Cricetulus griseus: one gene and its partners. The protein of the gene in region 5 interacts with the protein of the main gene of each other region in a pairwise test. Links are inferred from orthologs where the notes say so. Each region holds a gene or a part of one and is shown on either strand. Other genes may lie near its edges.

Region 1 (3,826 bases), about 82 Mb from region 5:
TGTCCAGCTATTCACTAGCAAAACCAACAACTAGCCACTACATCCACTCACTCCTTTGACTGCAGTTGTGTCCAAAATGTTTTACTAGAAAATCAAAGTTTATGGCCCACAGAGGCACCTACCATAAAACCTAGTTAAATGGCTAAGCCATAATTTACGTAGTCTTTTATTGGAATGGGAAGGAGACTACTTTTTTTCAAGAATTGTCCTAATACACAAACACCTCAGGAAGGAGCCCTTTCCATCACTTCCACTTTATGTGTTTCTTCTACCCCTATTCTCAATTTCTTTAAAAACAAAACAAAACCCCCCAAGCAAACATGGGTAAAGATGTAACTCAGAGGTAGTGCTTGCCTACCAAGTGTAAGGACCTAGGGTTTCCTCACCACCATAAAAACAAACCCAACAAAGCACAAACACATACCTTAGCTGGAGATTCATGTAGCTATGTACTTTCTTAGATAAGGACTTAGAACATACAGACCATGCAGTGAGAATAGTTATTAGCATAAACAGAAATATTTTAATTTTCAAATCATGATCCACAGAAGACCAACCAGTAGCTACTGATTTACAAAAAAATCATTATTAGCATTTAGAAATAATTAGAAGTTACAGGTGATTATGAGTCACTCCACATGGATGATGGGAACCAAATTCTCTGGTCCTCTGCAAGAGAGCCACATTGGTTCTTAAACCAGAAAGACAGCTCCAGCTCCATAAAAGACATTTCTTTGCTAATGTTACATTAACTGCCCAACAAGGATCATGTAGTGATTGATAATATAATTGAACAGTGTCATACTAATTTTTACTAACTATAAAGATTTTTTTATTTCAATACAGGGTCTCAACACATAGTTTTTCTGCCTCAGCCTCTGGTGTGCTGAGGTTACAGGAACACATCATTATTCAGAACTAGAAAATATTAATAACAAATACTCACTGACAACTTGTCAACCCCTAAAATATAGAGGACCATTTTGTTCAACAGTAAACTGAATTGTTTTCTCTGATGTGAAATCATTTTGCTTAAATTCTTTCTTTTTAATTCAAACTAGGAATGTGTAACTTTTCTCCTAAAAATTACTTTTTTTTTTTTTTTTTATAAATTGCATTCTCTGATTTTCTTGTCAGCTTGCTTTAAAGATATCCATGTGTTAAGAATGCTTGCTCGAAGTTTGGCCCATACCAAATGGTTGTATAACCCAAATATCTGAGCAGCAAACTGGGCGGATCCTTCTGGAGAAAGTATAGTTGAACAGCCAAGACCTATTGGTTCAGAATAGAAAGGACAAATAAATGAGTTAGTAGCTTAAAAAGAAATAAAAAAACAAAAGATGATAATAAAGCCAAGTCTTTACTTCTTAAGAGATGCATATTAAGCAAAAAATACACAATAATTCAAAAATATAACGTCTGATTTAAAATTAGTAGGCTGTGGCTAAAATGTGTAATTAAATATTAGAAGATGAGGCTGGTAGAGACATTAAGATTGCATCTTGAAATTTTGTGTATACTCCCAGTACTGAAAATTTTCAAGATCTTACCACTGGGCAGTCGAAGGGATGACCACACATCCTGAGCACCCCAGTCTGGTGTGATGGGGGGACAGCTGATAACCGGATATGCAGTATTACCAGACATCACTGGGCCCAAACCATTGCTTCTGCCAGCCACTGCGACAAATACAGTAGGTATGCCATCGCCTAGGGAAATTACAAGATAACCAGGTCCTTTTGTTTTGTTGACAATAACAGCAGGAACAAAAAAAGGGGGGGGGCATGTTAGATGGCTCAGTGGGTAAGGGGAACTGTTGCCAAGTCTGGTGACCTGTTTGACCTCTAGAACCCATATAGTGGCAAAGAATTGACTCTTGCAAGCTGTTCTCTAACCTCCACATATACTATAAAAATAAATGTAAAATACAAAATGAACTCAAATCCTTTAGTAGTCTGCTATAGAAAAAGCATACCTAGCTGTACAGTTAATAATAACCTAAGTAGCATAGGAATGGCCATTTTTGAGATCTACAGTATAAAGAGAATGTCCTGAAGTTGGTAAGGAAATGGCTGGTTCACAGCTTCCTTCTGATATTGCTGCTTAGACTCAGCAGCATGAAGAACCTCACCAGCTGAACAGCTATCTTTTATGATGAGTTGTCCTTCCAGAGGGTGCCAGTAGACTCATTTAATAGTGATTAAAATTCTCGTGGCTACTTCCAGTATTCAGTATTTGGGTGCTGGAGTACATGTAGTAAAAGCACCCAAAGTTAAAGGGCTTAGGATGCTTGAGTTGAAAGGCCCATCATTAGCAGTATCAAAAACCAACAGCAAAAGTACATCTCTATATCTCAAAAGTTTAGGAAGTTTGTATATTTAATACAGTGTTACTCTAGCCCAGGCTCAGCTTGAATTACAGCAAACCCGACCTTCCCACCTGTTAGGACTACAGGTCCTGGTTTTATGTGGTGCTGGATACTGAATCCTGAATTTCTTATTACAACTTAGTCTGCCTTTCTGGAGAAAGAATCCAAGCCTTCATTAGCTTATTAAAGGACCGGAAGCCCTCCTCCCATTGTTAACTACACTTCTGTTAAGTTTTCTTGTACCAACGATATCCTATCATTTACTTAATGTATTAACTCCTGAAACTATAGCTTTATTTCTTATTTTCTTTCAAGAAAACTGACAAAGATACCAGAGAGGCCCTGCTGCTTTAGCCTTAGGCATCCCACAGTTGGGGTAAGGGATTCTTTTCTTTTGGAATAAGCCAGCAACAGTGCTCAAGGGGCACTGTTAATAAGACAAGGAGACCACACATCCTTCTATTTTATGTGTATGGCTGTTTTGCCTCCATGTCTATGCATGGGTGTGGTGTGCAGTGCTCCTGGAGGCCAGAAGAAGTTGATGGATTCCCCTGGACTGGAGCTAGATGGCTGTGAGTGCTCCTCTTAATCAATGAGCCTTTTTTTTTTTTTTTTTTTAAAGATTCAAAAAAATTACAAGTATGTGTGCCTGCATGAGTTTATGGGCATCACATGCATGAGGTACACAAAGAGGGATAGGATGTCAGACATTATCCCTGGGGATAAGTGTAAAAGTATAGGCATTCCACATGACTTTCCTCCGAAATATGGAAAGCCTCTTTAAAACATTATTATCCAAAACATATGTACTTTAAAATATTTTACCCAAATCAGAAATAGCTGAAGTTGTCCATTTATTTATTAAGTTTACCTTCATACTCTGCTTTAATCCTCAAAGTTTCATCCGGTCCTTTATGGGCAGATGTTACTCGAAGTTCACATGGAATCCCGAAGTTTCCACAAGCCTTTTTAATTTTCTCACAGTGACCAAGGTCAGAAGTGGAACCCATCAGCACTACAACCCTGCACTGACTATCTGACTTCAGGAGTAACTCCACTCGATCTGCAACCCACTCAAAGTTCTTCTTTACCATCTGCAGTCCTTCCGGAGTTACTTCCTTGAGGTCACGGTAAGACTAGAAAGATAGAAATTTACAAAATAATTTTCTCTTGCTAGCTTAAAAACCCTTCCTTCCTTTCTTTAAGTAGAGCTTATGACAAGTTTACATAATGAGATATATCTGAAAATGCCCGTTGATGGAGAAATGTTTTTTCAATGAAAAAGTTCAGCAGCAAAGTTTCGCTTTTCATTCCAGGTCAAATGCTTTCTTCCTTAGCAATTACAAGTAGTTGAGTTAAAAGCCTTAATTAAGACTTGGTATGTAGAATCCCATTTCCGTCCCTTAGTCTTGGTATTGTGAAGATTAGACAAACAAGGACAGTTGTCCCTTTGCTGTT
Region 2 (3,500 bases), on a different chromosome or scaffold from region 5:
GGGAGAATGGGGGCTTCTACAAGACTGCTCCTACTAGCCTTGCATCCATACCCCAGTTCTGCACCCCCTGTCACAAGAAGCTCAAGCCCTGTACAGAAGGTGGCTTCAGAGGCCAGGAACACTGCTGCAGCCCCCACCTCAGCTGGCTGGCCCATGCGGCCCAGGGGCTGGGGAGAGAAGGGAGAAAGAAAATTAAGAGTAGCCCTCTTAGGTATGTTGGTTCACATTTGTCATCTCAGCAAGAGAGGTCTAGGCAAGAGGTTTGCCCTGGGTTCAAGACCAGCCTGGGCTAGAGAGTTCACACAAGTGCATGCCCGTGAACACACACAAAGAATGGCACATGCTTGTGACTCCGGCACTCAGGAAATGGAAGCAAGAAAATCAGAAGTTCGAGGATGTCCCCAGGTACATATCAAGGTCCAAGCCAGTCTGGATTATATGAAGCTCTGAAGAGGAGGAGAGGAGAGAAGAAAGACCCTGACCTGATCCACACTCTACCCCCAGCTAACTCCGTCCCTCCCAGCTCCTAACCATGCCTACCTGGGCTAGGGTGCCTTCTAGGATGGTGGCACTGGGGTCTGAAGTTGAGGCTGCCAGCTCTTCCCACAGTGGAGTCCAGATGTTCCCTGGGGAGATGCTAGGTAAGGGGAGAAGGGATGGGAGAAGCATATGCTACTTCTGTCTTGGCAACCCCAACTGCCCCCAGCTTCTCTGATCCGCTCACCAGTTGACACGGACACCATATCGGCTCTCATCCAAGGCCAAAGCTTTTGTCATAGCTGTTACTGCACCCTGCAGAGGCAGAGACCAGGGAGGGTTGGGTCTGAGGATGGAGTCCTTCCCAAACTCTTCTTGGGGGGTCGGGAGCTTTAGCATCAGTGAGATTAGTCTCAGCCCTCTTGCAGACATTCCCTGTGCATGGGCTCTGTGCAGGCCAATTTGTTACAGGTTGCTGTAACTTGGGACTAAATGAGGGAGGTAGTGTGGGACATTCCTGGGTTTTGACACCTATGGGAACTTGGGAGACTGAGACAGTTGGATTGCCATGAATTCAATACCAACCCAGGCTTCAGGGTGAGACTGTGGCTTAGACAAAAACAAGAGGGGCCTTGCAAGAGGGCTCAGCAATAAAGACACTGGCTGACAACCTGAGTTCGATCCCTGGGACACACACAGTGGAGGAGAGCTAACTGCTCTATGTTGTCCTCTGACCTAAACTCAACATGGATCAGAAAGATACCCATGCATATACCTACATGCAGGCAAAACACCCCTACACTTAAAGATAAATAATATTACATGTTTTTAGTGACCTTACTGCTGAAGATACAACATACTTTGGATGCAGGATACAGAGAAATCAAGCTAGAACTGGCCTGAAACCTTCCTCCTTGCTGGATAAGTTCCATGGTCACAGAAAATGTTATTCAGGTCACTGGGAGAGATAAGTCATCAATAGATTTATCTACAAGTGAACCTTGTACGCTGCAATACTGACCTGCCAGGCAGGTGCAATAGTGCATCAATGTTATGGGGGTATCTGCTTTCTGTTTATATAAGAAGACAGTTCTACAGGAGAGAATTCATGCCTAATACTGTAAACCTGGTCAGAAGTCCATGGTTCAGGAGGTCCCAGGCCTCAGGCCTCCGACAGTTCTGCCTCAGTCAGAAAAGCTCTTCCTCCTTTATTGTTGTGAATGTTTGAGGCAGGGTTTCACTATAGTCTATTGTAGACTAGGCTGGCCTCCAACTCGCAGAGATCTGCCTGCTTCTGTTGTGGGTTATTTGTACACTGTGTGAAGGTGTATTGCTGTGACTGGTTTAATAGAGCTGAACAGCCAATAGGTAGGGAAATAAAGTTTATATAATTGAGAGACAAAAAAGTTTAAGTTGTTTATTTAAGAAGATGTTTTTAGATGTGAAAAGATATTTTAGGATAGTAATACAAATTATGACAGAAAATGGTTTTAGCATAAAAGTTTGGACCCACTAAGATAGATAATACAGTATTTTTTTTCCAAATTTGCCAAATACAAATGGACTAAACATTGTGAATGTAATTCTTATTTGATAGTTGTTCTTATTGTATATAGTTTTTACTATGTTAGGGTTAAAACCTTTCCTTTTTATTTAGACGAAAGGGGGAAATATTGTGGGATATTACACACTGTGTGAAATGTGTATTGCTGTGATTGGTTTAGTAAAGAACTGAAGGACCAATAGCTAGGCAGGAGGTCTAGGTAGGACTTCCAGGCAGAGAGAGAGAGGAAGTAGGAGATGAGAATAGGTGCACAAGAGATGCCAGGAGACACAGGAGAAGCAAGATGGGCAGTAAGTGACAGAATGTGGAAATGGGTTAATTCAAGTTATAAGAGCTAGTTAAAAACAAGCTTAGGTGAAAGCCAAGCTCTCATAATTAAAAGAAGTCTCCGTGTCATTATTTGGGAGCTGGCTGGCCAGACAGAGAAAGACTCACTACATGCTGCTGCCTCCTGAGTGCTGGATTGAGCGTGAGCTCTGCCATGCCCAGTGAGAAGCCCCTGTTTGCAGTGTGGATAGTTAATGCAGAGACTGATGTGCTGAGAATCAGTGACTGCTGAGTGCTCAGCCCTAGCTGAGACAGCTACACAGCAACCCCATGCTATGGCTCAGGGGACAACATGAATGAGTAAGATCTGGGGGGCAGAGAGCAGTCCTGTAAAATGCTGTCTTCTGGTCATTCCATGGCCCTTGATATCATGAACTGACTGCAACTTACCTGCAGAAGACTCACACAAGTGAAGCAGTTGTTAGCATTGAAGCATGGATTGGGGGGGCTCATAAGGACCCGAACCTTACTGAAGAATATTGGCAACTGAAGGCTACTGAGGATGAGGGTGTGGTCACTGGTAGATTGTCCACTGGTAGGTGGATGCACTCAGTGGGTCATTTAAAAATGAGGGGAAGAAAGAAAGGAAGGAAGGAGGGAAAGAAGGAAGGAAGGAAGGAAGGAAGGAAGGAAGGAAGGAAGGGGTTAGAGATGGAGGAGAGAGAAAAGAAAGAGGATGTCAGGCAATTGGGAGAGGGGAGGTGGGGTGAGTATGGTGATGAAGATAGATTGTATGTATGTATGAAATTGTTCAAGAAGTATAAACATTACCTTTTAAATGTATACGTGTGTGTGTGTGTGTGTGTGTGTGTGTGTGTGTGTGTGTGCGCGCGCGCGCATGAGGCCATGGATATGCAAGTGCTCTTGGAGGTCAGAAGAGGTCACTGGATGCCTTGGGGCTGAAGTTACAGCTCCGAACCTTCAAGTGTGGGTGTTTGGAACCAAATTCTGGTCCTCTTGAAAAGCAGCAAGCACTCTTAACTGCTGAACCATCTGTCTAGCACACCAAAAATTACTCTTTAAAAAAAATAACAAGTGGCCAGGTGTTGGTGGTGCATGCCTTTAGTCCCAGCACTCGGAAGGCAGAGGCAGGCGGATATCTATGAGTTCGAGGCCAGCCTGGTCTCCAGAG
Region 3 (4,091 bases), on a different chromosome or scaffold from region 5:
AACATAACCAGAATGAAACCACCTTCCTCAGCCCCAGCTCTGCTCTCTATCCCCCCCTCCCCAGGACCTCCCAAGCCACTTGTCTCTCAGACCAGGCTAGCCTCATGTCCCAGCCTGGATACCAGGACTCTCAACCTTGTGGCCCCATTGCCAGGTCTGACCTAAGAGGGTTTTTTTTTTTTTTTAAAGATTTATTTATTTATCATGTATACAGTGCGTGCCAGAAAAGGGCATCAGATCCCATTACAGATGGTTGTGAGCCAACATGTGGTTGCTGGGAATTGAACTCAGGACCTCTGGAAGAACAGTCAGTGCTCTTAACCCCGGAGCCATCTCTCCAGTCCATGACCTAAGGGTTTTTGTCTTCTTATTTTTAACTTATATAATTTTATTTATTACTTTGAATTACGTGTATGTACCCTGTGTGGCCATATGTGCACAAGAGTTCAGGTGCCCATGGAGGCCAGAAGCTGGAGTGACAGGTGGCCTTGTGACAGTCACCTGACATGGGGATTGGGTTCTGAGAACAAAACCTGGGTCCTTTCAAGAACAGAATTCAATTTTAACCACTGAGCCATCTCTCCAAACCATTATTTTGATTTTTTGTTTTTTAAAAACTTGAGACAGGGTTTCTCTGTATAGCACTGGCTGTTCTGGAACTCGATTTGTAGACCAGGATGACCTTGAACTCACAGAGATCCACCAGCCTCACCCCGAATGCTGGGATTAAAGGTGTGTGCCACCATGCCCAGCTCTCATTTTGATTTTTGTTTGTTTGTTTGTTTGTTTTTCGAGACAGGGTTTCTCTGTGGCTTTGGAGCCTATCCTGGCACTCGCTCTGTAGACCAGGCTGGTCTCGAACTCACAGAGATCGCCTGCCTCTGCCTCCCGAGTGCTGGGATTAAAAGAGTGCGCCACCAATGCCTGGCTCATTTTGATTTTTTAAAAGACTCTGAAGCCCAGGCTTGTTTTGAATTTACAGCAATCATCCTGTTTCAGCCTCCCAAATGCTGGGATTACAGGCATGAGCCAGAACGTCTGTCTGTCTTTGAAGTGTTTCACAAGAATCTGGTTTGTGGGGACTGGAGAGACGGCCCAGCAGTTAGGAGCACTTGCTGCTTTCCCAGAGGGCCTGCCTTCTGGGTGCTTAACAAATTTTGTAAGGCTAGGGCATGGTTGCATACTCCTTTAATCCCAGCACTCAGGAGGCAGAGGCAGGGGAAATCTGTGAGTTGGAGGCCAGTCTGGTCTACAGAGTGAGCTCCTGGCAGGCCGAGGCTACGTAAGAAGACCCTATCTCAAAACAATTTTTTTCAGGCTCTCCTATGTCTGGAAATTGTGTATGCCCTAGTGACTACTATCTGCCAAGGCCAAGTTCTCTTGTGCTTCAGGCTCTTCTCGCTCGGCCCTAGTCCATCTTCCTCTGGTAACCTGTCTGGGACCTGAAAGACTGTCACAGGTCTCCTTGGCAAACCTGGGATTTCCTCTCAGTGGGTCTTCCCTGACACTTCTCTTCCCAGTGGGCGGACAGGTCTCCGTTTCCCCTTCTGGAAATATCTAGTATCTTACCAGTTCAGCCCTGGGACAGAAGGCATGGGAAGGCAGACAGACCTAGGCCTGCACACGGTCGCCACCTGGTGTCCAGTGTGGGTACCTGCAGCGGATGCTCTCCCCGGGGAGGATTGGGAAGGACTGATTCATTTTACAGGAGACACAGGAGCCGGGGTTTTAGGGCTCTCCCTGGGTTTTGGGGAGCTGAGACTGGAGGGTATTCACCTGCGACCTTAAGGACTAAGTTTAATGACTCTAGTGCACCTCTCGGTGGGACCGACTTGATTCCCAAATATTCGGAGGTCTGCAGTTCTGTGGGACCTGGGGATCCGTTTGGGCGGGGGGTTTCTCACCAAAGAGCACAAGCTTGGACTGCAACGTGCGCAGATAGAGAATGTAACAGGCGCCAAAGAAGACAGCCAGAGCCACCAGCAGCATGGGGGATGTCACCCTGGAAGAGTGTGGGAGACAGGAGTCAGGCGTCTGAGGCTGTGTGAGCCGGCTCCCTCTAGCCTTGGGCATCACATGGGGTGGCTAGACTGCATCCCGGCTCGGGTGGATTCAGGAATACAGACCGACTCCTGGGTGCTCGGGTGACAAGGCCCTGGGCCTAGCTAACCGGCGGGGGGCGGGGCCTGGCAACAGGGGGCGGGGCCTGGCGCAGGAGGGCGGGGCTGCCGAGGCACTCACACGCAGTAAAGGATGAGGCCCAGAAACACGAACACGTAGTTGCTTTGGTAATACTCCACGTTGCGTACCAGGCGCTGGCAAAGCTCGCCCAGGTTGCGGGGTCGCGAGAAACGCTGCTGATCCACGAAAGCGCCCCAGGGCCGGATGGTCGCGCGGCGCCGCTCCAGCCACTCTCGGCCGGCGCCGGAGGGAATCAGCTTGGGCAGCAGGGTCCTGGAGGGCGGGGCGGGGCGGGGGCAGGTCAGCCGCAAGCGGTCCCAGGGCCCGGACCCCAGATCCCAGCACATCGCGGCCCCCGGGGGACATCTCCTCTGCAAAGCCCGGGGGCCGGGACGCCTGGGACCCCACGCTCGGGAGTATGGGGGGTTACACCCTGCTCGCTCACGTGGCGCTCAGCCCCTCCACCTCCGTATCCTTCTGCTGGTCCTTCTGGGCCGCCATGTCTACGCTGCGGTGTGTGGGATCGCCGCGGACAGCCTCGAGCCCCGCCGCACCCAGCCGGCCCCCGCCCGAGCCCGGACGCTCAGGACATGGCGCCGCTTGGCACTCTAGGGGGCGGTAGTTGCGTCTCCGAGCATTCTGGGAGTTGTAGTCATTGCGGCGTCAGGAGGTCGGTCGGGCTCGCAAGACACCTCGGGAGAAGTATGCCAAGAGCGCCGCGTGGGCCTCTAGGCATTGTGGGAACTGTAGTTTCAGAGCGTGCAGCGTGGGCTCTTAGGATGGGGCGTTTTTACCGGGAGTTGGCATGGCAGCTGCGGGATTCCGTGGAGGGTGCGGAGCTATCATCCTGACTCCAGACGGCATAATAATAATAATAATAATAATAATAATAATAATAATAATAATAATAATAATAATAATAATAATAAATAATTAATAATAATAATAAAAACATTGGCCGCAGCCTCAGATATTCTGATTCTGATTGGGCTGGTCTGGGGTGGAGTTCATTAACTTTCTCTTTCCTTAGAAAACAAAACAAAACAAAAATTATAGGGGCTGGAGAGATGGCTCAGATGTGTGAGAACCGGCTGCTCTTCCACTTCCAGGTGTCCTGAGTTCAATTCCCAGCAACCCACATGGTGGCTCACAACCATCTACAAATGTGATTTGGTGCCCTCTTTTGGCATATAGCATACATGAAGGCAGAACACTGTATAATAAATAAATTTTTAAAAATATTATATATGTATATATCCAGCTCTAGTCAATCAAACATACTCACGTGTACTTACACAGATACACATAACTTTTAAAATATCTTTTCTAAAAAATGGCTTCTGCCGGGCATTGGTGACTCAAGCCTTTAATCCCAGCACTCGGGAGGCAGAGGCAGGAGGATCTCTGTGAGTTCGAGGCCAGCCTGGTCTACAGAGCAAGTGCCAGGACAGCCTCCAAAAGCTACACAGAAACCTTGTCTCCAAAAACCAAAAAGAATTAAAAATAAATGGTTTATGTGTGTGTGCCACATGGGTGACGGTGCCTGAGGAGGCCCAGAAGAGGGTATTACATCCCCCCCCTGGAACTGAAGTTACCACCAATTGTGAGCTGTTCAAAATACATGGGCTGGGAACTGAACTCTAGTCCTCTGGAAAAGCAGCACGCACACTCTTAACTACTGAGTCATCTCTCCAAACCCTCTTTTTTATTTTCATTTAAAACATCTGTTTTATTTATTTACTTTTTCCAGACAGGGTCTTTCTACATAGCCCTTGGTACTCGCTCTGTAGACCAGGCTGGTCTCAAACTCTCAGCGATTCACCTGTCTCTAGTGCTTGGGTTAAAGGTGTGTGACACTACCACCTGGTTTTTAAAAATGATTTGTTTTTATTTTATGTACATTGGTCTTC
Region 4 (4,298 bases), on a different chromosome or scaffold from region 5:
CAGCACTTTGGGGCAGAGGTAGGCGGATCTCTGTGAGTTCAAGACCAGCCTGGTTTACAGAGTAAGTTCAAGGACAGGCTCCAAAGCTACACAGAGAAACCCTATCCCAAAACAAAACAAAGCAAGATTTCAGAGCCTAGAGACCTGCAATTCTGGAACTCCCTAGTCACTGGCCTGGGGCAAAGGCATGGCTCTTGACACCTAGAAGGCTGGGCCAACTTTTTTTCTCAGCAGTCCATCAGTAGTCCTCCCTAGAGATGGGTCTAATTAGTCCCATCCAGTGAGTGGGAATCTGACACCAGAGGGTCACACCAATGTTATATGGCTGCTCAGTGCTACTAAACCCAGACTCTGGACTCTGATGAACAAACGTAAAGTGTCCAGGACTGTGTTAGGTGCAGAAATTTCAAAGTATCATCCTCACTTCATCATCTAGAGTAGGCTTGGCCCCCAAGACCACAGGCCTATGAAGCTACAGGAAATGGAGAAGCCCATTATAGGGTGGGTGGGGGGGTGGAGGATCAGTCCCTTAAAGTGAGTTAGACAGTAGGCATAGCAGTGCAGCACCAAGGAGGCTAAGGCAAAAGGATCAAGAATTCTAGGCCAGGGCCAGTGAGATGGCTAAATGAGGAAGGGGGCTTGCTATTTAAGTATGGGGCCTTAGTTCATTTCCTAGAGCCCATGTAAAAGTAGGAGAGTACCAACGTCATAAAGTTGTTCTGTGACCTCAACATATATGTGGTGACATTTTACACACACACACCCTGCATACTAATAAAATTTTATCTAAAAGAATTCTGGGTCAGTTCTGGGTCACATAGGTGGCAAGAACCTGCATCCAAAAACAAAGCAACACAAAGTGAGACTGAGGCTGGAGCTACAGCTCAGTTAGTGGAGCCCAGCACACACAAAGCTTGAGATTCCAAGCCCAGCACTGCATAAACCAGACCTTGTGTCGCATGCCTGAATCCCAGTCCTTGGGAAATGGAGAGAGGTGGCCATCCTTGACTATACAGGGAATTTGAGGCCAACCTATGCCACCTGAGGCTTATGCTCTGGAATCCTAAGAAGGATCTCTACTCCTGGCTCCTACAGAGTCCAGTCACGTCTGTTCATCCCCATTTAGGACCCTGCCATTAACAAATACCCAAGAGTGATAGCTTGGTTCATCTTACAGCAGGAAGCTAAGCCCTAGAAACCCTGGATTTGCTTGCTGCATTAGCATGAGGACCTGGGTTCAGTTCCCAGATGGCCATATGTACCTGCAAGCTCAGCACCGTGAGGGGACACAGCACCATAAGAATCTCCAGGGTATACTAGCCACCAGCGTAGCTGAAAAACAAGTTCCAGGTTCAGTGAGAGACTCCTAACTCAAGGGAATACAGTGGAGAGAGACAAGACACATGGCATCCCCTCTGACCCCCATGTACGTGTACACACACACACACACACACACACACACACACACACACACACACACACAGAGAGAGAGAGAGAGCTACAGCTCGCCCCAGCCCAGAGGAGGGGACCTGCACCCTTCGGGTCTTACAGCAATTGCCTCAGCCCACCCAGCATAAAGGCTCACAACTTCCTTCAGACCAGGCTGCTCCTCAAACACACAGCCCTGGACAAATCAAACAAATGCATCCTCAAGCAGGATTGCCTCAACCTCTGCAGGCACCAAGAACTCACCCCAAACACTTTCCAAGCCTAGCTAGTCTCTCTTCCTGGAGTGAAATTCCAACACACACAGGCTGGCTTCTGCTCCCTCTAAAAGATCCAAGCCTGTCCACACCTCACATGAGCTGGGTTTGGTATCCTGGCTGGAGTGGAAGTCCCATTTCTTTCCTAGCCCTTCAGGTCAAGCTCAGTTGGGGCCCATAAGAGTAAATAGATCTCACCTGTTCCCCTCCCCAGGGGCCCCTTTGTCCTTCTTCTTATCCTGGGACAGTTCTTAGTAGGAACAGCTCCCACCCCCACCCCAAGACCTAGTCTTTCCAGGGGAGGGAGAAGGTATTTGCCTACATTCAAGAAAGGCCATCAGCCTTGTGAACACGGGGCAGGATCTCCTATTAGACTGACCACGAACAGTTATCAGCCTTAAGGACCAATGGCCCTAACAGATGTGAATGGGGATGAAGGATGTGGAGAGGGCTCACCCAAGTCTCAGGATCTGTGCTGTTCCGCTCCATTCTGCGGGTCAGCACAAACCCATCCCAAATCTGAAGGTTTCAGTGAACTGACCAGGGACCTTGGAGAGACACAGCTAGCTTTCTCAATTGCACTGCTTTCCCAGAGTTCATGGGTGTTCCCTCCTTCAAATGCGTGCCCCAGATTTACTTTGGGATATACATACTACCACTTATTCCTCACCCCACCCCCCACTTCTCTCATGCGCTCCATTGGAGCTAGGAGGAGTTGGCCCTGTCACCTTCCCACCCTGGGGCAACTAAAATCGGTCCCGTCAGGATCCTTTCAGCGCTCGGGCAGCAGCGTGTCCTCACAGTACAATACACCCCTCCGCTGCAGGCAGGGCTGGGAGTACAGATCATCTCCCAAGTGGGGTGCAAACAACAGCAGTGCCCCCTGTTCTCCCACCCTAGGCGGCCAGCGCGGCCCAGACCGAGCGCAGCGCCACTGGCATGCGGGGACCTACCCGCTCCACATCCCGGCGCCCCCGCTCTCTGCGTTGCCGCAGCCGCGTCCACGCGCACAGCCAACTCTGCCCGGGCACCAGAGCTGCCCTGCAGCCTGTCAATCGCTCCCCCGCCGGTCTGTCCCGCTGGCCGCCAAGGTTCGCGGCTCCGCCCCACCCCAGCCCTTCCCCTGCCCTGGGCGGGTCACGTGCCCGAGAGGCGGCCCCAGGCCACGTGCCCGGCCCCGCCCCTCTTCCAGCCCAGCCCTGTCCCTCTAACTGCGTGGGGACGGTGATCCCGCTGAGTGAGGGCAGAACTGGCCCGTCATCTCTCAGTCAGAGTTGGCCTTGGCCTTTCCCACTCACTCTGTGCCTCTCACTTCTGGACCACCCTTGCTTGAGAACCTACAATGGCTCCCGAGGGTCTCAGCTATGATTCTCCCGCAGATTGTCACTCCAAGCGGCCAGACACCTCCTACACACTCAGACTTCTAGCCGTGTTACCAGACTCTGAAGCTCAGAGCTCTGCATCAGTCCCTGGACTTCTGGGAATGGAGTGGGGGAGACCCCAAACTAGTCCCATTCGTTGAAGAGTTAACCCAAGAGAGCACTACTTTGGCTCAACTTACCAATTCTGTTTTCCAGGGCCCTCCCCATGTACCTCTGAACATTGTTCATCCCAGTCTTTCCAGCTAGCTCTCCTCCAACCTCACAAACACCTGTCAATCCCAGGTATTTAAAAACAGAGCTGAGCCGGGCATTGGTGGCGCACGCCTTTAATCTCAGCACTCCGGAGGCAGAGGCAGGCGGATCTCTATGAGTTCAAGGCCAGCCTGGTCTACAGAGCGAGTGCCAGGATAGGCTCCAAAGCTACACAGACAAAGCCTGTCTCGAAAAACCAATAAATAAATAAATAAATAAATAAATAAAAGCAGATCTGTAAAAAACGAATACCTGGCCACTGGTCACCTGTCCCTCAGTTTCTCTGGCCTGCCTTTATCCTGGCCCTGATCACTACCCTGAATGAGGTTTAGCCTCTGTTCATGATGGATACAATGAGTAGAGCCCATAGCCAATCCCTCCTGTAGTGCTGCTAGGACCAGCTCCCACAGGCTGGGTCTACAGAACTCTCTGGGCTTCTGAGAGAGAACACAATCTCAATTCATCCATCCACACAAAGAGACATTCTGCTGCCCCTTCTGAGCTATCTAAGGACCATGCAATAGCAGGAGACCCTCTAGGCTGGAACCCCTCCCTCCCTCCTCCTCTCCCTCTCCCTTAATCCCCTCTTCTCAGTGGGTGTGAGTCATATATTACCTAGGCTGATCTCCAGCTTCTGGACTGCAATGATCCTCCCTCAACTTCCTCAGTGGCTGTGACCACAGGTATGTACCACCATGCTTGACTTATGGAATCCAGTATGGTGGATCATAGGTGAGAGACCTGCTTTCAAGGGCCTCTACTGCCAGAGCCTCAACTTGCCTAGGACCCATCTTCACCAACACAGTGTCACCTTTCAAAACAAAAACAAGTTTAGGCTGGAGAGGTGACTCAGCCAGTAAGGGCATGCATTGCTTTTGCAGAGGACCCAAGTTTGGTTCCCAGTACCCACATTAGGCAATTGATGACCTCCTCTGACTCCAGGTCTGGGGGACCCTAAGCC
Region 5 (4,205 bases):
GGCTGAGAGGCCAAGGTGTCATTCTCAGCTCTTTATTGTCCCACATACAATTTCACCAGACCAAACTGTTCCAACACCTGGACAGGTCTGAGCTGTGTTTTTATTAGGGGTGTGGTCACTTCAAAGTCCCACACCCACCCCGGGCAGGACAGAAAAGCTAAAGAGAGCCTGGGTGGGTTGAGACTTCAGTGAACAGTGTTGCCTACTCTGGGAGCCCTACACCCCTGCATCACATCGGTGTGTGTTGTGCATCATGAGGAAAGACTTGGGTGGCTGTAGATGGGACAGTGGCCCCACATCTTCACACAGACATTTAGGCAAGAAGGCAAGTTAAATAACACTTTTTTACTCAGCAATGACTCTGCCCTGAGGGATGAGTCCCCCATGTCCTATCCCCTCCACAGTCCTAAGAACTTGGATGGATCAACATTTACCAAAGTGGACCAAGAAATAGGATGATGCCGTTTGGGGTTCAAAAAGCTTCTCACTGTTTTGAGAGAAGCACTGTGTATCCTGAGAACAACGGAAACCTTTGAGCACTGGACTCAAGGCACTCTCCCTTTGGGCTCAATGTGGGGTCCCTGCACACAGTGCCATGAGATTACCAGCCTTTTTCCAGCCTACAGAGGGCGGGTGGATGCTCAGCTTCTGCTGATACCTCTCTATCTGCTCAGGGGGATGACAGAAGATTCCTGAAGTCTGTGTAGAAGCTGTTTTTGCAAGTCTTCCTCTAATACCTCCCACCAAAAGTAGTTCTCACCCCTAATCTTTGGGGGCTCATCTTCAATTCCTGGGATCCGAAAAGCCACCATCACTAGAACATTCAGGCAGAGACCGTCAACATGGTTTTTGCCGAGGTGTTGCAGTCCGAGCAACCCCTTGGTCTCCACTGCCAGATTGTTCAGAGTCAGACACTCCTGTAGTAGCCGTAGGGTGGCCACTTTGATGCCACCCCTTTGCTCCATGGATCCGAAGCCACAGCCAGTGATGGGCAAGTGAGGAGTCCCCACTGTGCTCGCCAACACCCATACTGACTGGACTGTTGTAAAGGCGGCCACCAGCCGCTGGCAGACCACACTGCAGGGAAGCTCTTGAGGCAGAATGAGAGGGTGCATGGCTTGTTGGCAGAATTTGGCACCCAGCTCTACCAGGTGCAGAACATCATGGGCTCTAAGCGGAGTGGGCAGGGAGACCCGTGGGTACCAGCCAGCCTGGAGGGACTCAGCATCTGCATCCTTGGAAGTCTTGAGAACTCCACCTAGGGGAGATTTGGGGGATGAGGAGAGGGCCAGTATGAGAAATGTTGAGCTGAGAGAGTAAATGGCCACCCAAGCGTTCCAGGGGGAGACTCCCCGCCCAAGCTCTTAGCCTGTAATAGGTCAGTGGCAATTTGCAGAAGCCACAGCATGGCTAGCTAAGGAGAACAAACTAAGAAAGTGCTAGAATGCCACCAGGTGAGTTGTACCTGTGGGTCGAGCAAGGAATACAAAACGGATCCAGCAGGCACCCCTCTCCTCCACAGACAGCAGTGTCACTGGTTCACAGAGCAGCCCAGTCTCCTCCTTCACCTCCCGCTGCATCGCCTCCACGATGGTCTCCCCAGATTCCATTCTCCCTGCAGGGAGGTACCATGCTCCCCGGCACTCTTTCTTGGCCTCCTGGATCATCAGCACCTCATCCTGAGAGAGAAGCAAGGCAATCTTCACCTTATGCCGCCAGTCTGGGGGCTTCAGAAGAGCAGCCCTTAGCTGGATGGATGTTGGCCCAAAGCTCCCTTCAGGATTCTGGGTCGTCGGGAGCCTGGTGTGGTTGAGCGCTATGGCTGCCGCCTCTTAGCTGTAACCCAACTTTGGATTCAGAGGCATTTGTGTTGTAGGAAAGGACTGAGGTCCCTGGGCGTTGCTCCAAAGAGGCCCTATGCTGAAGGTAGCCACCACTTTAAAACCGACTCATACCTATGCCACTGTGTTGCTGCTCTCTTGTTCCCCATAGGTTTTACAAACAGCTTGTATCCGGTCCCCACTCTCTAGGGTCTGAGCTTTGAAACTCAGCTCTGCCCCCATACCACCTATCCCTACTTGGCCAGGATGTTTTTACATTGACTTGTACAGAGATGATCGCAAACAAAAACTCCCAGAGGGTCGGATCGGAGGCCTGCGTGTAAGCTCCCCATAACTATCCGTGGGACCGGGAGGGTCTAGGAAATCCTTCAGGAAGCCAGGCACCGTGCCAGACTCCTGAAGGAAGGAGGTATACTGCAGGCCTCTGCTAGCGGAGGCGAGGTCTAGTGGATGAGACAAACCGCCTGGGGGCCTCGGCTTCTCCCTCTGTATTATATATAATCTATAAGGACGATCTCAGCTCAGCGGCTAGTGTGAGAGAGAGTGCTTTGCAACATTGGGAAGCGCCACGTACAGGCAGCGGCCGTTGGCTCTCCTGTTCCTACCAGGGCTGGCGGCGCGCTCCCGAGACCAGCTGAAGGCCGGCGGCCGGACGCTCACCTGCTCGTTGAGGAACACCGCCAGCACCACGTAGCAGACATTCTTCCGCAGCCGCACGGGCGACAGCGGCTTGCCAGCCGGCTCCGAGTCACAGCTCTGCACCAGCAACCCCTTGCCCCCCAGCACGGTGGCCAGCGCCCCCGTCAGGCCTTCCGAGGCCATCAAGTCTCCAGGGAGCTGGCAAGCCAGGACTCGCCAGACCCCTAGGAGGCAGGCGGCGGGGACCGAAGCTGCGACGAACCGCTGAGCCCCTCGCCCCCTCCCCTGCCTTGGGGGCCAAGGCTAACGCGGAACCTCCAGGAGAGACCGGGCTGCTGATAGGCTGCGCGTCACCACGGCCTGCCCAGATTGGTCAGCTGGCAGCAGTTACCGTGGGGGCGGGGCTCCGGGGACACGCCCTCTGCCCCCTCCCCCCACCTCTCCCGGGTTTCAGTCGCTGATCGCTCACTCCTCACTCTCCCCAGCTCTTTGCTAATTCACCCAGCAGGCACTTGTCCGCGCGGGTTCCGACGGTGATGTCATCCTGCCTGTAGGGTGCTGAACACCACCGCGACCAGGGTCGGTGGCGTCACTCTCTGATGACATTACGGAAGCCTAGGCTCCGCAGTTAGCTCCCACTGTCCAGGTTTATCATAAACAAACTAGAGAAGTGCTCAAGACGAACAGGCCCTAAATAACTTTCTGACTTCGTTAACATTTTCTGAACGTCATGTGGCTGGGGCACATAACGTTGCCTGGGACATTCTGATCTGTATAGATTGATGGACCCAGGCATTTAAAAAGGCAGCTGCAGGATTGGTTTGGGCAAACGAAGTGATTGATGAGGCTCAGAGGAGAGATGGGACAGGACTGGTATGGTCAAGGTGGGACAAGACTGGGGGTGAAGGAAAGGAATGTGGGAGGAGGAAGAAAAGGAGCTTGGAGACCTCGATGCAGCCCCCACCAAATCCCCCCTGCTCAATGCATTTGCCATGCGGTTTCAAGGCTTCTGCAGCAGATTGCATCCTTAGAGGGCAGGGGTGGTGCCCTCCTACCCAGCATGCAGGGCCTGGCCATGGGGAACAGGGTGTGGGTTGTTTTGGCCAGCTCTTGCTTCTCTCCCAGGCTGACCTTTCCTCCGAAGAGCTTCTTTAACCTCGGCTCAGGACAGGAAGGCAGGGCCAGCTGGGAGGAATCCACAGAGCAGGCCAAGTCTGGGCTCCTCACCCCATCCTAGCTGTCCCTTTCCTCCTCCCTCCTGCTGGCTCTGTGTGCCTTCTTTGGGGGACAGTGGCTTGGTGGTGCTGACAAAGCTCTGGAGTTTAAGCCAGACACCCAGCCACTGCTGGCTGGCTCTTTCTGTGCCCTGGTCTCAATTTCCTCATCTGTAAAGTAGGTCTATAGCAACCCTCCCCCCTGGTTGTTGAGAGGTCAGCATGGCCTGGGAGGAGCTGTGTGGACTATCTCAGCAGTCACCAGGCAGCCCACCTATTCTCCAGTTAGAACAGCAAAGCCACAGCACTTGGTGCTACACAAAGGCCAGCCCATAGAGCCCCTGTGAAACTGGGGAGTATAGCTCAGCATACATAAGGCCCTGGGCTCATTCCTCAGCACCACAAAGCAAACAAAAAAGCTTCTATGCTCCTTGGACTTCACTCCCAGTATCTCAGTCCCATAGGACAGGTCATCTAGCCATTCTCCCTGATGCTGATCCAAACTCCCTGG
Region 6 (3,500 bases), on a different chromosome or scaffold from region 5:
AGCTGATGAAGGATGATGAAGGGATGGTGACACCCTCGTCTACAGCACATCCAAGAGATCAGGGACTAAGCCCAGGGGAAAAGGACCCTCATGTGTAACCCTAGCCAAGGTTCATTATCTGCAAAATGGGTGCAAAAACAGCATCTACTCTCTCTCAAGTCTGCCTTGGGAAACCGCCTTAAACTGTGGTCTCCCCTAAATATTACTGTTAAATACATAATGCACTCTGGGGCAGCTAGGGTGAGTGCAGGTCTGCTCTTAGCTCCAATATTCAACCTTTTCAGGACCCATGACCAGTCCTGAGAACTACATCAGCAGGGGCTCACCCCGGTCTGGTCTTGTTGTGGAATATTATCTTAAGATGTGTTACACTCGTTTATGCTGTGGAACATTTGTGTAATGATGCAAAGATGTGTTGCATTCTTTTATGTTGCATTTGTCTAACTCCGTGAAACTGTTACTTTGCCTATATAAAACACCTGATTGGTCTAATGAAGAGCTGAACAGCCAATAGCAAGGCAGGAGAAAGGATAGGTGGGCCTGGCAGGCAGAGAGAATAAACAGGAGAAAGGAGGGATCAGGAAGCAAAGGAGATGAAGGAAGCAAGAAAAGAAGGGGCCAGTCACAGAGCAAGATATTGAACAAGAAGGAAAAAAAAAGATATATAGAAATAAAGAAAGGTAAAAGTCCAGAGGCAAGTTAAGAAAAGTTGGCTAGAAATGAGCCAAGCTAAGGCCAGGCATTTATAAGAAAGAGTAAGATTCCGTGTGGTTTATTTGGGAGCTGGGTGGCAGGCCTCCCAAAAGAGCCAAAGAGGAAAGACCTGGAGCCTCTTTCCAAAACAGACAGGTCTGGAACCAGCCTCTGTTCTGTCTTAGTGTGGAGAGGGCCTAATGATTGGAGGTGTGGTGGTGATCATGACATAACTTGGTAGGCCTGGTCTTTCCTGACCCTTGTTTAGGTCTGTATGTGGGACCAAAGACAGGGTCTAGGCCAGGCACATTTCCCTCTTGTGTGGAGGAGGTGTGTTGATGGGGTTGAGGCTTCTGGCCCTTACACAGCAGTAGCTGACATTGGGGAAGGGTTTTTTTTTTCTCAACATCAAGGACTTTGTGGCAGCTCCCAGGAGAGTTTTGTTGTAGTTGTTTGTTTGTTTGTTTGTTTAGACATGATCTCAGGTAACTCAGGGTGAAATCAGACTTGCTATGTAGCCAAGGATCGTTTGGAATGGCTGATCATCTTCTTCCATCTCCTCAGAGCTGGGATAACAGGTATGCACTAGGGATGGAATCTGGGGCTTCATATATGCTAGGCAAGCATTCCATCAACTGAGGTACATCCTAGCCTGAGTTGTATCAGCTCACAAAGCAGTTGGAGAGGCACGCAGGTCTGGTTGCCCACTTCCAGGGCTGCAGGCAGGAAAGTGTGGCCCTTAGTTTGCCTCTGGAGAGAAGATGCTAATGATCCCCTCCCCTCCCCGGCAGTCTTTCCTTCCCTACATCCTGCAACCTCAGCCCCAATGCACAGTGCAGTGGTGGGATACTCAGGCAGCTTATGAAGCTTGCCACACATTGTGATTTGACGGTGAGACTTAGGGCAGGGCTGTGCTGCTGTGTATATGAGCATGGGATGAGGGTTCCAAATTCTGTACCCTTAGATCCCTGTTTGGAGATGGTGGTGGTGTAGGGGACAATGCCTAGGGGCAATGGGCTCTAAAGCAGCATGGAGAGGTCTCCTCTTCCATGGGAACTGATTGACTGAGGGAGGGTTGGGCAATCGCCCTGGCTGCCTCTTGTTGGTTCTCTCTCTCTCTTCTGTGTGTGTGTGTGTGTGTGTGTGTGTGTGTGTGTGTGTGTGTATGTTATGCACATGTGTGTTATGCACATGTGTGTATGTGTGTATGTTCGAAGAGGCCTGTCCCATCACTTTATCACTTTGCCTTATTCCCTTTGGATAGGATCTCTCATGGAACCTGGAGATAGTCTAAAGACCACCTAGCCAGATATCCTCCCATCTCTTCGCCACAGTGCTGGGATAATAGGTGTATGTGGCCATGCCTGGCTGCTGAAGCTTCTAAAAAATCACTGGAGACCTTTGTCGCTTTTCACAGCCATACCTTTTCCATGTCCAGAACCTTGTCCTGCATTTCTCGAAGGGCCCCCAAAGTCTCTGTCTCGCGTAACCGTGACTGCTCCAGCTCTGTCTCCAAGTGGGCCACAAAGTCCTCTGTGAGGCGTGGGTTTTCCTGAAGACAAAGGACAGCATTGGTCCCTGGTGGAGCCTATTGCATGGTGGACAGCTTCCATGCTAGTGGGCAAGAGGGCCTGGGCTGGAAGAGGGTCTCAGTTTTTAGGCATCCTGGCTTGAATCCATTCTCTGTTCATGGCACTTGGAGGCAATGGACCTGACTTGGCTACTTTCCAGGGAAAGCCACACAGAAGGAATGTTGGGAATGGAACTTTCCATGACTTTGGGCTGCCTTCTGAGAGCCTCCGAGACTCAGTCCCAGGACCACAGGCTGTGGGTAGGGCATGTGCTCCTGCAGTGTGGCCAGTTGTGGAATCATACACATGGGCATGGTCAGGGACCACGGGCAGGGTTGGGACCTTTCTACCTGTCCCCCTCAGGCCCCACTTCAAGACAGGGAAGAATGGGAAGGAAGGAAGTTCCCTTTGAGCTTCTGGGTGGAAACCAAGACCCTCTCTTTCTGTTCTGGTGGTCTGGCAGGGAATTCCTCTAGGGGACCACCCCAATTTGGTGCCCAATCTGGTCTTGGCAGGCACACCCTTCTCCAGCCACAGCCCCTATTCCCTGACCTCTGTCCTGTTAGGAACTCTGATTCTTTGTGCTAGCATCTCTTCCTGGTCAAGACAGACTCCAGGCCTTCTGAGGTGTCCCTCTTCTGGGAGACCTCCTCCTTTCAGTGCTCCTCTTGAGCCTGAGGACAACAGCTCTGGACCTGATCATCCTTTTCATAGCCCCATAGCAGGATTCAGAGGCTCTGTTTCTCAGAGGAACTCTACTGCCTAGTGTCAAGATAAGGCAAATCCACCTCAGGGTGGGAAATAGTAATCTTAGGCTGTCCTGTGGAGTCTAGGGGTGGTTAGCTGTGAGGGGAAGCAAATCCACACTAGCCTCTGGATACCCCTATCCACATTATAGATTTAGTCCCCAAGGGCCAGAAGGTAGGGGTGACACAAAGACCTATGGGAGGTGTGGTCCTTCCAGTCAACCCCACCCACACGCCTGGTACCTGCTGTTCCTGCAGCTGCCGAATGGTGCTCTGTGCCTTCTGAAGGTCCTCTGCAGTTGAGCTACACTGTTGTCTCACCACTGCCAGCTCCCGTTTGATGACATAGTTCTCCTCAGCCTCCTGTGCCCGTGTCACCTGCCCCTGAGCACAGTGAGGATGGGGGTGGAAAGGGTGCCGTGACTATCTGCTTTGGTCCCAGGCCTGGCCTCTGGGAGGCTCAGAGAGGATGAGAAGAGGGGTAGAGTGA
Region 7 (2,787 bases), on a different chromosome or scaffold from region 5:
ACCTGCCAGAGGACTGACTGCACCTGACACTGAAGCCAGTGCATTTCCCCACGGATGTGCAAATACGGGGTGATGCACTGGATGGGGGGGGGGGGCAGCAACAGCACAGTCTGCAGTAACTCGGTGGTGTGGCTCACCTCTTCCCACCAGGCTCTCGGCTCTGCTCTGCAGCCCTCCCCCACCCGCAGTGTGTGCAGATGGCACCCCGATGATGGAGACAGACAAGGAGACACCATCACAACCACAGGGTGCCATCTGCACGCAGTCCCACCCGACTTTACCTCATCTTCCTACAGTTTCGAACTATCTGCAGAGAATACAGATACACAAAACTGAAGTGAGGAGCTATGATTAGAATTATTTAAAGCCTTCTGAAACTTTCCAAATGTACTTCTGATGAGGGCCACCCACCCTCCCTAACAGAATCGAAACAAGGCCACCCTTGCCCCGTGAGTCCTGCCAGACTTGCTGATGGGTGCTCAGGGTTTTAGTTTGCCTCCTTATTCTTCCTCTTCCTCCTCTTCATCGTCGTCTTCATCATGGCAGTGTGTAATCTCCTGGGGAGCCAGCGGGAAGAGGTTGGGCGGCTTAATCTCACTAACGGACCTTGTGAGCTGGTGCCGCTTGTAGTCGGTGTCTTTGAAATCCACAGATGTGCGGTTCCGGGTGGCGAGAGGGGATTCCATCTCGTTGATATCCACGTGTGTGTGCTCCACTGTTGATTCATGAGGCATCTAGAACAAAGCAAAGGCTCAGGCTACAGGCAGCACAAAGATAAGTACCACCCAGATCTGAACCCTAACATGTCTTATCTACAGTGTCTGTATGAGTGAAATCTGCCAGCAGGGACAGAAGCTGCCCGCATCCTTTCCTACAGATGAAAACCAGTAAAACAGAAAAACCGTACTTTCTATTTTTATACTCCCTAAACCAGTCCTGAAACAGAACAGTATTGGGACACACATATAAGAACATTTATTTCAATTAGTACTAACGAAGGCATCTCTCAATGTAGTCCTAACTCAGAGATTCACTTGCTTCCACCTGCCAGGTACTGGGACTAAAGGCGTGCACACCACACCTGGCTTTTTTTTTTTTAAATATAGGGTCTCATGTGGTTGAAGCTGGCCTTGAACTCCCAATCCTCCTACCCATGCTCCCCCACCCCCAAAAGCTGAGATTCTAGGTGTGAGCCACCACCTACTCAAAGGAAGAAAAGTCTTTCTATCTAACCACATAAGCCATTCACAGTTTTCACATAGACTATCTCCCATGTCATTCCACAAACCTGGTGCAGATGTGACCCAAGGTCCATCTTAGCTGTCTGTCCCAACAGCTTTACTCACCAGGACATGGGCGGCTCTGAAGAGGTAGCTGAACGGGTAGTACAGCAGGTTGATGAAAGACGCTGCGTAGAGGTCAGCATACCTCATCACTTGACTGGCAAAGAGTGTCTGCCGGGAGCCACTGCGGAAGAGGCTTCCCATCATCCCATAGCACATGTCCATGTCATGAGTTACTTTCTAGAAAAAAAAAAAAAGTTCTCAGCTGATTCAACTATCTGTTGGTCACCAGCAACATCCAAGTTCCTACATAAAATCAGAAACATGTAAATGACTTAGACAACTGATTTTCCACATTTTATCCCAAATCCCATCTGGATACCTTAATCCGTCTCTGGATGGAACTAATGTCTGGGCGCTCATTGCTACTGCTGTCAAGGTGCCTGGGGACAGAAGGAAAGCACAGAACAAATCTCTAAATGAACACATTGTATTCCTATGTTGTTCTTGAAGATGTAGGTAGGGTTTAGAACTAGGAAACTTACTTGTAGAGTTCAGCCAAGAAAATATCCAAGCTCTGAAGTTCTTCAAAAAGTGCTAGTTAAAAGTTTGGAAAGGAAAAGAAAATGTTTTACATAAATCAAGAAAAGGTACCTGGCTTTTAAGTGCTGCTCAAATTAGTGAACTCTAAGATATGACAAAAAGCACAGCCTTGCCTAACATGGCAGAGTCAAGTGTGTGTGTGATCTGCGTCTCCCCAGGGAAGCTTGCTGACACTCACGTGGACTCTGCCAGCGGAAGACCACCAAAATTTCCTTTGAAGGGTCTCCTCCTGCCTAAAAGCCATTGACCACAACTCCCCCTTCCAACCATGTGCTCACGTGGGGGCTTCCAAAACACTAATTTCTGCTCCCTTGGGTGCAGGCACCAAAGAAACTACTGATAGTTTGACTTTAAAAAAAAAAAGTTTATGTTTGAAGTTTGTGTGTGTGGTGGGGGTGGGAGGGCTTGCGTGTGCCATGGGGTGTGTGTATGAGTCAGTTCTCACTATGTGGACTTTGGGGACTGAGCTCAGGTGAAGTTTACCAGCAAGCACCTTTACCCACTCAGACATCTAGCTGGCCCCATTTCTAGAAAAAAGGACTAGGAATTAGGTGACTGGTCCAGAGCTGAAGGTCAACTAGACTTCTAAAACTTCACAGGTGGGAAGCTTAAACTGTGAGGGCGACAGGCAGCTTCATTGACATGCCTCCTGAGTTCCCCAGGAGAACCACACCCTGATTTATCTATTACACAGAAGAGGGTTTCTTCTACCATCTTTACAGGCAGAAAGTCATTGAAATCAGGTGCTGTCACAGAGAAGGAAAGCCATCGTTTCTGCTTTCTTTATGTGGACTGCCTTGCCTGAGACTCACCAGCTTGCAGACAGGTATTATCGCTATTCTATTTTCTCGGGGAAACAAGGCTCAAGGTGCATACAGACTTTGAGCAGAGGAGCCAGAAT

What was found.
Region 1: the proteins of Nudt18 (region 5) and Paics interact in binary tests that used the Homo sapiens proteins (3 or more experiments, as listed by UniProt). The two-hybrid records come from large-scale screens. The link is inferred for Cricetulus griseus from reciprocal best matches to the Homo sapiens genes NUDT18 and PAICS.
Region 2: the proteins of Nudt18 (region 5) and Hsd17b14 interact in binary tests that used the Homo sapiens proteins (3 or more experiments, as listed by UniProt). The two-hybrid records come from large-scale screens. The link is inferred for Cricetulus griseus from reciprocal best matches to the Homo sapiens genes NUDT18 and HSD17B14.
Region 3: the proteins of Nudt18 (region 5) and Rabac1 interact in binary tests that used the Homo sapiens proteins (3 or more experiments, as listed by UniProt). The two-hybrid records come from large-scale screens. The link is inferred for Cricetulus griseus from reciprocal best matches to the Homo sapiens genes NUDT18 and RABAC1.
Region 4: the proteins of Nudt18 (region 5) and Rab3il1 interact in binary tests that used the Homo sapiens proteins (3 or more experiments, as listed by UniProt). The two-hybrid records come from large-scale screens. The link is inferred for Cricetulus griseus from reciprocal best matches to the Homo sapiens genes NUDT18 and RAB3IL1.
Region 6: the proteins of Nudt18 (region 5) and Evi5l interact in binary tests that used the Homo sapiens proteins (3 or more experiments, as listed by UniProt). The two-hybrid records come from large-scale screens. The link is inferred for Cricetulus griseus from reciprocal best matches to the Homo sapiens genes NUDT18 and EVI5L.
Region 7: the proteins of Nudt18 (region 5) and Nt5c2 interact in binary tests that used the Homo sapiens proteins (3 or more experiments, as listed by UniProt). The two-hybrid records come from large-scale screens. The link is inferred for Cricetulus griseus from reciprocal best matches to the Homo sapiens genes NUDT18 and NT5C2.

What each region holds. Positions count from the first base shown.
Region 1 is NW_023276807.1:143,382,218-143,386,043, reverse strand, and holds the end of Paics (multifunctional protein ADE2), read right to left. Parts: intron 3,505-3,826; coding exon 3,240-3,504; intron 3,003-3,239; exon of another isoform or gene 1,710-3,002; coding exon 1,551-1,709; exon of another isoform or gene 1,527-1,550; intron 1,273-1,526; coding exon 1,106-1,272; 3' UTR 501-1,105; downstream 1-500. UniProt on the Homo sapiens protein: Bifunctional phosphoribosylaminoimidazole carboxylase and phosphoribosylaminoimidazole succinocarboxamide synthetase catalyzing two reactions of the de novo purine biosynthetic pathway.
Region 2 is NC_048599.1:154,472,424-154,475,923, reverse strand, and holds part of Hsd17b14 (17-beta-hydroxysteroid dehydrogenase 14), read right to left. Parts: intron 793-3,500; coding exon 725-792; intron 638-724; coding exon 541-637; intron 168-540; coding exon 1-167. UniProt on the Homo sapiens protein: Catalyzes the NAD(+)-dependent oxidation of L-fucose, yielding L-fucono-1,5-lactone, which rapidly converts spontaneously to L-fucone-1,4-lactone. Can also act on D-arabinose and L-galactose, with lower catalytic efficiency. Does not use NADPH.
Region 3 is NC_048602.1:9,714,295-9,718,385, forward strand, and holds the start of Rabac1 (prenylated Rab acceptor protein 1), read right to left. Parts: upstream 2,801-4,091; 5' UTR 2,683-2,800; coding exon 2,627-2,682; intron 2,455-2,626; coding exon 2,242-2,454; intron 2,003-2,241; coding exon 1,905-2,002; intron 1-1,904. UniProt on the Homo sapiens protein: General Rab protein regulator required for vesicle formation from the Golgi complex. May control vesicle docking and fusion by mediating the action of Rab GTPases to the SNARE complexes.
Region 4 is NC_048596.1:50,432,918-50,437,215, forward strand, and holds the start of Rab3il1 (guanine nucleotide exchange factor for Rab-3A), read right to left. Parts: upstream 2,801-4,298; 5' UTR 2,668-2,800; coding exon 2,657-2,667; intron 1,333-2,656; exon of another isoform or gene 1,263-1,332; intron 1-1,262. UniProt on the Homo sapiens protein: Guanine nucleotide exchange factor (GEF) which may activate RAB3A, a GTPase that regulates synaptic vesicle exocytosis. Promotes the exchange of GDP to GTP, converting inactive GDP-bound Rab proteins into their active GTP-bound form.
Region 5 is NW_023276807.1:225,221,067-225,225,271, reverse strand, and holds the start of Nudt18 (8-oxo-dGDP phosphatase NUDT18), read right to left. Parts: upstream 2,801-4,205; 5' UTR 2,664-2,800; coding exon 2,502-2,663; intron 1,680-2,501; coding exon 1,466-1,679; intron 1,259-1,465; coding exon 663-1,258; 3' UTR 1-662. UniProt on the Homo sapiens protein: Mediates the hydrolysis of oxidized nucleoside diphosphate derivatives. Hydrolyzes 8-oxo-7,8-dihydroguanine (8-oxo-Gua)-containing deoxyribo- and ribonucleoside diphosphates to the monophosphates. Hydrolyzes 8-oxo-dGDP and 8-oxo-GDP with the same efficiencies.
Region 6 is NC_048597.1:89,010,935-89,014,434, reverse strand, and holds part of Evi5l (EVI5-like protein), read right to left. Parts: intron 3,395-3,500; coding exon 3,254-3,394; intron 2,246-3,253; coding exon 2,117-2,245; intron 1-2,116. UniProt on the Homo sapiens protein: Functions as a GTPase-activating protein (GAP) with a broad specificity.
Region 7 is NC_048596.1:14,664,244-14,667,030, reverse strand, and holds the end of Nt5c2 (cytosolic purine 5'-nucleotidase), read right to left. Parts: intron 1,881-2,787; coding exon 1,829-1,880; intron 1,727-1,828; coding exon 1,666-1,726; intron 1,524-1,665; coding exon 1,347-1,523; intron 735-1,346; coding exon 501-734; downstream 1-500. UniProt on the Homo sapiens protein: Broad specificity cytosolic 5'-nucleotidase that catalyzes the dephosphorylation of 6-hydroxypurine nucleoside 5'-monophosphates.